2 linked regions of the Caenorhabditis elegans genome follow. The protein of the gene in region 1 interacts with the protein of each later gene in a pairwise test. Each region holds a gene or a part of one and is shown on either strand. Other genes may lie near its edges.

Region 1 (3,871 bases):
AAATTTTTCTCCATGACATCAATCAAGGATCTCAGAACTTTGCTCCGAAAAGTTCCATCATACCTGAAAAATCCTAAGCTCAAGGAGCACGTGAACGATGAATTCATTCGAAATTTCGAAAAGGCGGAAAATACATTCAAACATCAAATTGTATTTGATCCTAGAGAACGGTGCCAGAAGCCGTTGACACCGTACCCAAAAGAAGTTTTGATGACTGGAGTCGACGATCTGGAGGAGGTTATAGACTTGGATGTAGGCTCATCAAGCTTATCTAGTCACTAATATCGTTTAAATGTGAATTTCAGTCACCAAAGAAGACGGCTCCAAGCTCCAAAAGTTTCGCGTATGCAGGAACAGCTTCTACTCAGCGAATCGCTATTCGGTTAGCGCTAGGAAATCCGGTTAGCAATTCTTTAGGAGCATATAGTTTTATTACATAACTTGAACATTTTTCAGGAAAACAAGAGCTCAATCGACGATCAGTTTCTTCTAGTTCAGCCAACCCCGGAATGGAGTGTCTGGGGATTACGGTAGAAATATAACTTTGAAATAGTAGTGAATACTCTATTAAATAATTAAGATATGAAAGCAAAGGAAGCACACTAGACAAGATCAGCAAACAGAAAGAGTTAGAAGCTACGCAATGTGGTGGAGCTTTCAAGGTAAGAAGAATGAAAATCTCAAAATTTTGGACGATATAAAATTTTCCAGCTCGATTCGCCGTCTGTGAAGCGTGTCAAAGTTGCTTCGAAAACTACCCCAAACGATGACGAAGATGACATTGTGAAGCAATTCATGGCAGATATCGAAAAAGAAAAGAAGGCTATCAAAAAACGGAAAAATGCGCCTCAAGTGGACTATAATGCTGATGTTCTTCTCAAAAAGTATGCAGAACCACCACCGGAGAAGAGACAAAAGATTCTGGAAGTAATCGATGATGATTTCTCGGAATTTTTTCAAGAAAAAGTGAAAGAAAATACCAAGGAAAGTGTTGCCGAGGAAAAAGTTGAAAATAGCAACGAAGAGCTGAAGCCTCCTCCGATTCTTCGAAAAGCGGTTTCAACTCCTGATTCGGCAAGAAAAACTCACAAATTTCAATCGCCGCTTCTCAATCATCAAAATTCGGCTCCTCCGTCGTTGCCGGATAGAAAACCTGCACAAACTTCCAAGTATTTCTCTAAACCAACTTCAGAAAATGGGCGAGTTACAAAACAATCCGCTTGTGAATTAATAAAAATATAATCTAAATACTTTTTTCAGAGTTCCCAAAACGAAAAATCCATTCCGATGTCCTGCATTTGTCAAACCAACGCAAAAAGTTGAAGAAAAAATCGAGAAAACTACGATTCTCGCTGCATTGGAAGAGAACAGTGTTCCGATGCCTAGTTCAAATACCACATATCGATTTGTTGGCTTTAAATCCGCAGGACTCCGTAGAAAATCGAAGCAATAATTTTTTAAAAACTTATTTTCGTTATTATCATTTTATACCGGTTTTTTGTTACGTAAAATATTCGTTTTGTGCCTTTTTCCGAAAATAAATTATTTTCTTCTTTTATTGAAAGTCCGCAATATTACATTGCGCGTGAAGTATGGTGTTTTGTCCGCAAATATTTTGAAGTGACGTGGTGAATTTTTCACCGATTTAATCGAGCTTTTATTCTCGATTCTAAATATCTCCCCTTTTTCAATAGAGATTTCAAAAAATGGCTGACAAGTTGTTCTCGATTCGCAATTATTTCTTTCTCGGAAGTTATCAGTCTTGTATTGGAGAGGCTTTGGTGAGAAATCTTGTTTCCTTCGATTTCCTGGTTTATTTTAATATTTCAGAAGTTCTCATCGAAAAACGAAGAGGAAAAGCAGGAGAAGGATGTTTATTTGTACAGATCGTATATTGCACAAGGACAAGCTTTTATTCCATTGAAAGAGGTAGTTATTGATTAATGAGCAAGCCTGAACTCTTTTATTTATTTTAAGATCCCAGCCGCCACGAAGTCTGCTGATTTAGCTGCTGTTCGCAGGTACGCCGAATTCCGCAACAATCCAGCTGCCAAGAAGAAGATTCTGGCTGAAGTTCAAGAAGAAGTTGCCTCAAGAAACATTAAATCAGAAATCGCAGCTGTTCTTGCCGCTACTATTCTCAATGAAGCTGATGTGAGATATTTATACATTTAATGTTATTTTAAAATTACCAAGAATGAATTTCAGCTCTCCCAAGACGCATTCCGTGCAGTTTCCCGTTTCGAAGGTCTCGAGGCTCGTGCCTCCAAGGTGTTTATTCTCATTAAAATGAACAAGCGGAAGCTTGCAATTGGTGAAGTGAAGAAAATGAATCAAATCGACGAGGACGCTACTCTTTCTCAACTCGCAAATGCTCTCGTCACCTCGTTCGGTGCATCTGGAAAAGTAAAAGATGCTCTTTACATTTACAGCGAAATGTCTGATAAATACGGAAGAACTACTGATTTGGAGATGCATCAAGCTGTTGTTAGTATTTTGACTCAAGACTATGCTGCTGCAGAGGAGCTTTTGGAGGTGAGAGAATAGAAATTTAAGTTAATTAATAATTTTATATTTTCAGAGTGCTCTGGAAAGAGATAACAAAGATGCTGATGTGCTCATCAACTCAATCGTTTCCGCCCAGCTCAACGAAAAAGATGACGATGTTAGTTTCCTTCACTTTAAAACCTGAAAAAAGTGTAATTTTCCCAATTTAAAAAATGTTTAAACTCAATTTTTTTTAAGAAATTCAAAAATTTAAAGTTATTTTTTAATGATTCCAAAAATTTAACAATATTAAACTGAATATTTTTCAGGTCGTCGAACGTTTCATCTCTCAGCTGAAGCATGAGCATCCAAATCATCCATGGGTTATCGATTTCAATGAGAAGGAAGCCGAATTCGATAGAGTCGCCAGCGATTCCAGAGCCTAATTTCCATAATCTCTTATTTATTTTCTGAAATACGCCCTCTCTCAATGTGATTTCTTTGGTTTCTAATTATGCACGTCTATTGGTTGAAAAAATCGATGTAAAAATTATGAGAAAAATAAATTAAAGTGTGGAACCAAAAACCTCAGAAAAGATGAAAGTTGGACTGATGATAATTAGTAATTCCATTTATCGAACCGATACAGTAATCCTCACAATGTGCGCGAGTTTTGAAATTGTTTGCCGATGACGGCCTTTCGGGATTCCATTTGAATTCAATACATTGTTCACCATCGAATCCCCATCTAGACAGATATCCATCATCCGGATGATCGAATATTGGGTGGACGCATGTTTTGGCTGAAATTTTGATTTTAAAAAATTCTGAGATTTTTGCGATAAAAATATGGTCTCGACACGACAAACTTTTGTTAAATGCGAAAAGATGTGCGCCTTTAAGGAGTACTGTAGTTCCAAACTTCTGCTGTTGCGGACTTTTCATCGATTTTCTGATGATTTGTTAAATTTGTGAAATTTTACAGTACCCCTTGAAGGCGCAAACCTTACCCAATTTAAATTAATAAAAATTTGTCGTGTCGAGACCGTCTGCCGTATTTTTAACGGAAAGCATCTAAATTTTCATAATATTTCCTGCCTACAAGGCGGCCTACGCACACGAGCCTTGCTCTAATTTATTGAAATAAATACTGTGCACACACCAACCACGGGATACTATGTGAAAACATAGGCAGGCCCGCGTGAAAGGCAGAAAGTGTGCCTACCATGATCAAAAAGGGAATATATACCTCTATCAGGACAACAAACTCCATCCAATGCTCCAAGAATTGATAATCCCTGAATACATTCAAATCCTTCTGGACACGTATCTGGCTTCTTTTTACTCGAACATTTCACCGGTTCTCCATCTTTTCGGTACATTA
Region 2 (7,877 bases), on another chromosome or scaffold:
GCGGTTTGATCTACAAAAAATGCGGAAATTTTTTTCACCGATAAAATGTGACGTCAGCAGCACGTTCTAGAAGTCTGCGTCTCTTCTCCCGCATTTTTTGTAGATCTAGGTAGATCAACCCGACATGGGACACTCTGACACCACGTGAGAACCCACAAAGTCACCGTATCCCGGCTCCTTTTCATTGAGCATTTTGTGGATATTGATTGCTTGAAGTGGCTGAATACTTGCGACTATCTGAAAAGAGCTCGCTTAGAGTTGTTAAAGAATGTTAAAAGCTCACATGAAGTGCGATAGCTCTTGAATACGATCTCTTATCCAATTCTTTTGGAAGGAACGGAGGATCCGGATAGGCTTCATCCAAATATTCGATTATTGCCAAGCTTTCTGTCAGTGATAAGCCATTTATCACTAAAGTTGGAACTTTTTTCGCTGGGTTGTGCTTGACGAACTCTGCATTGTTCTGAAATACAGCTATATTTCTATGGAAGTGGGAGTAGGGCAGGGGTGGATGGCAAATTGCCGGTTTGCCGGAAATTTTCAATTCCGGCAATTTACCGATTTACCGTTTGCCGAATTTTACCGATTAAAATTGAAATTCTGAAATTTCCAGAAAAAAATGTGCAAAACCACAAGTTGCCGAAAGTTTTCGGCAAATTGTGTTTTTCCGGCAAATCAGCGATTTGCCGTTCTGCCGAATTTTGCCAGAAATTTTCAATTCCGGCAATTTTCCAATTTACCGGAAATTTTCAATTCTAGCAATTTGCTGGAAATTTCAATTCAGGCAATATGCCGAATTTGCCGAAAATTTTCAATTCCGGCAATTTTCCAATTTGCCCGAAAATTTTGATTTTCATTAAATTTTCGATTTGCCGGAAATTGTAATTTTGGGCAAATTGCCGATTTACCGTTGCCAAAAGTTTTCGACAAATTGTGGTTTTTTCCGGCAAATCGGCAATTTGCCGCTAGGCCGAATTTTGCCGGAAATTTAAATTTCGGCACTTTGCCGATTTGCCGAAAATTTTCAATCCCGGCAATTTGCCGCTCTGGCGAATTTTGCCGGAAATTTTCAATTCCGGCAATTTTCCAATTTGCCGGAAATTTTCTAACCTTGGATTCTTCAGAAAATAAGTCGATTGGCCGGTATTCGTAGTCGATATTTTTCAGAGCAAGTGCTATAAATCAGTATTTTATAGAATTTCCAAGCTAAAATTACCGATGCGAACTCTCCAGGCACACGACGAACGCCAATATGAATATAAAATCGGTTTTGCCATGGAGTTAGAAGCTTCTAAAGAAGAAAATTGAAATATTTAAGCAATAAATGACATTTTGAGAAGAAATTAAATATGAACACGTGGGAAAAATCTTCAAAAACCCTAATTTTTCAGTTAAAAACTACTTTCTCCGAATAAAACCTCCATTTTCCTCAATTTTCAGCACTTTTTTATGTCAATTCCCACTTAAAATTCCCCTTTAACGGTCATTTTTCCTAAACTGTGCAGTTTCGCGTCGCCGTGTTTGCACACATTCCGTTTGATGCGCAGGTTTCCACGTTGTCCTCTTTTCTCCATTTTCTGTCTCTTTTAACGTGGATTTACCGATTTTTATCTCTGAAATTCTTAATTTTTATGGTATTTTTCGTAGTTTCTTTATCAATTTAATCGAAATTCCAAGTTTTTTCATTGATTTTTTGCATTTTTGTCTGTTTTTTTTAAACATTCTTATATATCCACGTGTCATTTCCATAATTTCAGAACCTTCATTCACGCCGAGGAGCAGTTTTTGACTGGTTACCGACTATAAATCGGATATCATGTCGCTCCTTATCAAATTTGAATCAAAATCCGCTAGGGTTAAAGGTAAATATTTTGGTTTTTGGCATTATTTTTCAATAATTTCCCAATTTTCCAGGAATTTCGTTCCACCCAACTCGGCCATGGGTGCTCACATCGCTGCACAGTGGAGTCATTCAACTCTGGGACTACCGAATGTGCGTTCTTCTCGAGAAGTTCGACGAGCACGATGGTCCAGTGAGAGGAATTTGCTTCCATCATGATCAGCCGATCTTTGTGTCTGGAGGAGATGATTATAAGATTAAAGTGTGGAATTACAAGCAGAAACGCTGTATTTTCACACTTCTCGGACATTTGGATTATATTCGTACCACTTTCTTCCATCATAAGTATCCATGGATCATTTCTGCGTCCGACGATCAAACGGTTCGGATTTGGAATTGGCAGAGCCGAAACTCGATCGCCATCCTCACCGGACACAATCACTACGTCATGTGTGCTCAATTCCACCCAACCGAAGATCTTGTGGCTTCTGCCTCCTTGGATCAGACCGTCCGTGTTTGGGATATTTCTGGACTTCGGAAGAAGCAAATGCCTGGTGGAGGTGCTCCAAGCCGGCCAACCGGAGGGCAACAAGCTGAGCTATTCGGGCAACCTGATGCAGTTGTGAAGCATGTGCTAGAGGGACACGATCGTGGAGTCAACTGGGTTGCATTCCATCATACCAATCCAATTCTAGTCTCGGGATCCGATGATCGTCAAGTCAAGATTTGGCGTTACAATGAGACGAAAGCCTGGGAGCTCGACTCGTGCCGTGGACACTACAATAACGTCTCATCTGTGATCTTCCATCCAAATGCTGACTTGATTCTTTCCAACTCGGAGGATAAGTCGATTCGTGTGTGGGATATGCAGAAGCGTACCAGTCTTCACGTTTTCCGACATGAAAATGAGCGTTTCTGGGTTTTGGCCGCCCATCCAAGCTTGAACATGTTCGCCGCAGGACATGACAATGGAATGGTCGTTTTTAAAATTCAAAGAGAACGCCCGGCTTATTGTGTCAGTGATAATTTGGTTTTCTATGTGAAGGGACAACAAATTCGCAAGCTCGATTTGACAACCAAGTGAGTAGTTTGATGCCAAGAAAAGTGTGCCGCAAAATGCATTTTTGCACAGAATTAGCGTTTTTTTTTTGCGAAAAAAAGCGTGCGAGAGTTGCGAAAATGCATTTTCCGGCGCACTGAATCATGTTTTTGTGGAGTCTCAGTAGTTTTTAAATGAAAAACTTTAAATGTGCCCCATTAAGCGAATTTCGTATTTAGAGCCTCCAAAAAATCGGAAAAAAGGCGTAATTTCAATAGCTAAATTCTCCAACTTCCACTGAAAATAGCAGAGTTTTTTTTGAGATTTATCAAATTTTTAGCTTTTCAAAAAATGTTTTCTGCTTTTTACGAACAAATCTTTTGTTAAACAATGAAAATCGAATTTAAAATGACTAAAATTAACTTTTTCCGTCCACTGGTTGTGAAATGGGTTGAAATTGAAGAAATCAACGGGATTTTTCTGATTTTCTGAATATTTTTCTATTAGAAATCGGTTTTAAACCATTTTTTTTTACTAAAACCGATTTTTAATAGGAGAATATTTAGAAAATGAGAAAAATCCCGTTGATTTCTTCAATTTCAACCCATTTCACAACCAGTGGACGAAAAAAGTTAATTTTAGTCATTTTAAATTCGATTTTCACTGTTTAACAGAAGGTTTGTTCGTAAAATGCAGGAAAAAAATTTTTAAAGCTAAAAATTTGATAAATCTAAAAAATCTGTTATTTTCAGTACGAAGTTGGAGATCTTAGCTAAATTTAGAGCTTTTCTCCGGAAATTTTGAGGACTCTCACTACAAAATTCGTTATTTTTTGTACATTCAGAGGGGATGTACAAGCAAAAACCCCTCTAAAATCAAATTTTCAGCAAGGATGTTGCTCTGTGCAAGCTCCGTTACCCACAACCATTCATGCAACCATACTACTCTCTTTCCTTCAATCCTGCCGAGGGAACCTTCCTTCTCACAAGCCGTACTCACAATAAGGATCTATGCGCCTTTGAGCTGTACAAAGTTGCCAGTAACTCTGATGGAACCACTGAAGCTGCGTGCGTCAAGAGCACCGGAATCAATGCACTTTGGGTTGCTCGTAATCGTTTTGCAGTTCTTGACAAGGCTCAGAATGTGTCGTTGCGTGATTTGACGAACAAGGAACTTCGCAAACTCGAGAATATCAACACGGCTGTCGACGATATTTTCTATGCCGGAACTGGAATGCTCCTTTTGAGAAATGATGATGGGCTTCAACTGTTTGATGTTCAGCAAAAGATTGTGACTGCTTCAGTGAAAGTGTCGAAAGTTCGTTATGTGATTTGGAGCAAGTCTATGGAATTCGCAGCTCTTCTTTCAAAGCACACGCTGACCTTGGTCAACCGTAAATTGGAGATTCTGTGTACCCAACAGGAGTCGACTCGTGTGAAGAGTGGAGCTTGGGATGATGACTCGGTATTCCTCTACACCACTAGCAATCACATCAAATATGCAATCAATTCTGGAGATTGTGGAATCGTTCGTACTCTGGATCTTCCTCTGTACATTCTGGCTATTCGAGGAAACGTGCTCTACTGCTTGAATCGTGACGCTACACCAGTTGAAGTTCCAATTGATAATTCTGATTACAAGTTTAAGCTTGCTTTGATTAACAAACGAATCGATGAAGTTGTCAACATGGTTCGATCCGCAAATCTCGTCGGTCAATCCATCATTGGATATCTCGAGAAAAAGGGTTACCCAGAGATTGCTCTTCACTTTGTCAAGGATGAGAAGACTCGCTTCGGGTTGGCAATTGAATGTGGAAACCTGGAAATCGCGTTGGAAGCCGCCAAGAAGCTCGACGAGCCAGCAGTCTGGGAGGCTCTCGGAGAGACTGCTCTTCTTCAAGGCAATCATCAAATTGTTGAGATGAGCTATCAACGAACGAAAAACTTTGAGAAGCTCTCGTTTTTGTATTTTGTTACTGGAAATACGGATAAGCTTGTCAAGATGATGAAGATTGCACAGGCTAGAAATGATGCTCACGGACATTTCCAGACAGCTCTCTACACTGGTGATGTTGAGGAGAGAGTTAAAGGTAAAAATGTGCAGCTGGATTTCAGAAGGGGGCAAAAGTCAAAGTTTTATTGATTTTTAGCTCCTCTTTGCGTATTTTTTTCGTGAATTTCTGCAAATTCTAGACGATTTTGAAATTATTGAACCTAAAAATGGTCCAAATCTACCGAATATCGTCATGAGATTTCTCAAAAAAAAATTTGGAAATCTACCAATTTTCAGCTAAAATCTCATATTTTGCCAACTTTTCAGTTTCGCAGCTGACGGAACTTGATTTTTATTCAATTATCGCTATTTAATACGTATTTTGGTCGTTTTAACGAATAAAAGTGTGATAGACGACCAAAATATGTATTAAAAAGTAATAATCAATGACACACTAAAGTTGGCAAAATTTGAGATTTTAGCTGAAAATAGGTTTTTTTCCAAATCTCAAAACCGCCATAACTTTTTTTGTGAGTTTTCAGAAACTTTTCAGGATTTTTCATGACGAAATTCGTTACTTTTTGGGTCATTTTCAACAAAATAAAGTATAAAGTTAATTTTTCAGTGCTCCGAAACTGTGGACAAACTTCTCTGGCCTACCTCGCCGCAGCCACTCATGGATATTCTGCTGAAGCTGAGGAGTTGAAGGCTGAACTCGAGAGTCGTCAGCAACCAATCCCACCAGTTGATCCAAATGCTCGCCTCCTTGTCCCACCACCACCAGTTGCTCGTTTAGAAGAGAATTGGCCACTTCTTGCCTCGGCTCGAGGAACTTTCGATGCACAGCTTCTTGGATTAGGAGGACAATCTGCTCCAACTAATGTTGGCGGTGTGAAGCCTGCTGCTGCTGCCTTTGCTGTTATGGATGATGATGTTAGTTTATTGATTTCTGAGCTATCTGAGCTATAAAATATTAATTTTTGCAGGATGGTGATGTTGGAAATGAAGCATGGGGAGATGATGAGTATCTTGTCGGAGAAGATGGTGAACTTGATGTTGATGAAGGAGAAGGACCAGTTGATGGAGATGAGGAAGGTGGATGGGATGTGGATGATGATCTGGCTCTTCCTGATGTTACCGATGATCAAGGTGGAGATGATGATGAGGAAGTGGTTCCTAACCCAGCTCCAGCTGTCTCATCGGAATGGCCGAATGTTTCTCGTCTTGCTGCTGATCATGTTGCAGCTGGTTCATTCGGAACTGCCATCAAGCTTCTTCATGATACAATTGGAGTCGTTGAAGCAGCACCATTCAAGGATGTATTCGTGAAGGCTTATGCAGCTTCTAGACTCTCACATCGTGGATGGGGAGGACTCGGACCAGCTGGACCAGTGTCCATTCATCCGGTTCGTAATTTCCAGGAGGATAAGAATCATCTTCCAGTCGCTGCGTTCAAACTTTCTCAACTTGCAAAGAAACTGCAAAAGGCTTATCAAATGACGACGAATGGAAAGTTTGGAGATGCTGTCGAGAAACTGCGGGAGATTCTTCTATCTGTTCCACTGATCGTTGTGTCTTCGAAACAAGAAGTCGCCGAAGCGGAGCAGCTCATCACAATCACACGGGAATATCTTGCAGCACTTCTCCTTGAAACTTATCGAAAAGATTTGCCAAAAACGAATTTGGAGGATGCGAAACGCAACGCCGAACTAGCTGCCTACTTTACACACTTTGAGCTTCAACCAATGCATCGTATCCTGACACTGAGATCTGCTATCAATACTTTCTTCAAAATGAAGCAAATGAAGACTTGTGCATCACTTTGCAAACGTCTATTGGAGCTCGGTACGTGCTTGCGTTGTTGATTTTTTTAAATTTTATTTCTAATTCTTAATTTTTTTTTCCAGCTCCAAAACCAGAAGTTGCTGCTCAAATCCGAAAAGTGCTGACTGCCGCCGAGAAGGATAACACTGACGCGCATCAGTTGACCTATGATGAGCATAATCCATTCGTCGTGTGCTCTCGTCAATTTGTGCCTCTTTACCGTGGACGTCCACTCTGTAAATGCCCGTATTGTGGAGCATCGTACTCTGAAGGGCTCGAGGGAGAAGTGTGCAACGTGTGCCAGGTTGCAGAAGTTGGAAAGAATGTTCTTGGGCTCCGAATCTCAACTCTGAAGAGCTAAAAGTTGTGAAATATGATAATTTTTTCGTTTTTTGTGTGATATTAATTATTGTAATTTATTTGCCTTGTTCTTCCACAATTCCCATTGCTTTTGGTCCCTTCATATTATTTTCCCGTTGGGCGGCGGTTCATGTTTTCTATTTAAATTATGTGTTTTTAAAAATTATTTAAACCCCACAGAAAGATTATGATTGCATGCTGGTCTATTTTATTTGAATAAATCATGATTTTTTTACTTTTTTTCATTTATCTTTGGGGTAAGAAAATGTTCTCTAAATCAGTAATTTACATGGAGAAATTTGCTCGAAAAAATTCAAAAAAAATACAGTAAGAAAATTGTCGTAAAGTCTAGGGTTTTGGTATTGCGGACTACGACAAAATGCACACAAACCATTTTGGCACCGGAAAAAGGCAAAAGCCAGGATTTTATCGCGTTTTGGCTCATTTTTCTTGCAAATTTCCATGGAATTCAGTTAACATATACCTAATTATTCAGTTATTTCGAATTAATCAATAATTTTCAGTGAATTTCGCAATTTCTAAGTGGTCCAATGATGTCTGTCCACATATTTCCTTGAAAACTGATTGTTTTATCGGAATTTATTGATTTAAAATAATATATATAATAAAATCTGAATTTTAGAATCATTTTTGACGTGGAAAAGACCCGAAAAATCCAAAAATCACGAATAAACTGAACAATTAAGGTATTAATTTTTGATCCCCCACCCCCAGTTTCTCAGTTTCTCAGCAAAGGATTAAAACAATTGTTCTTCTTCTTTTCCCCCTACAAGAATTTCCTGTGAATTTCAATCGTAAAAA

What was found.
Region 2: the proteins of cope-1 (region 1) and copa-1 interact in a two-hybrid assay, tested with the Caenorhabditis elegans proteins (one large-scale study listed by BioGRID).

Annotation. Positions count from the first base shown.
Region 1 is NC_003281.10:13,424,648-13,428,518, forward strand, and holds cope-1 (Coatomer subunit epsilon), read left to right. Parts: upstream 1-1,616; 5' UTR 1,617-1,706; coding exon 1,707-1,781; intron 1,782-1,830; coding exon 1,831-1,929; intron 1,930-1,977; coding exon 1,978-2,154; intron 2,155-2,208; coding exon 2,209-2,535; intron 2,536-2,581; coding exon 2,582-2,665; intron 2,666-2,816; coding exon 2,817-2,933; 3' UTR 2,934-3,074; downstream 3,075-3,871. Other genes in the region: exo-1 (Exonuclease 1), read left to right, coding at 1-252, 306-401, 457-530, 581-662, 712-1,199, 1,261-1,453; Kunitz-type protein bli-5, read right to left, coding at 3,076-3,290, 3,737-3,871. UniProt on the Caenorhabditis elegans protein: The coatomer is a cytosolic protein complex that binds to dilysine motifs and reversibly associates with Golgi non-clathrin-coated vesicles, which further mediate biosynthetic protein transport from the ER, via the Golgi up to the trans Golgi network.
Region 2 is NC_003279.8:2,894,741-2,902,617, reverse strand, and holds copa-1 (Coatomer subunit alpha), read left to right. Parts: upstream 1-1,757; 5' UTR 1,758-1,816; coding exon 1,817-1,862; intron 1,863-1,914; coding exon 1,915-2,920; intron 2,921-3,766; coding exon 3,767-4,968; intron 4,969-5,496; coding exon 5,497-5,804; intron 5,805-5,857; coding exon 5,858-6,716; intron 6,717-6,778; coding exon 6,779-7,056; 3' UTR 7,057-7,289; downstream 7,290-7,877. Other genes in the region: gst-43 (maleylacetoacetate isomerase), read right to left, coding at 157-237, 284-463, 1,111-1,175, 1,217-1,277.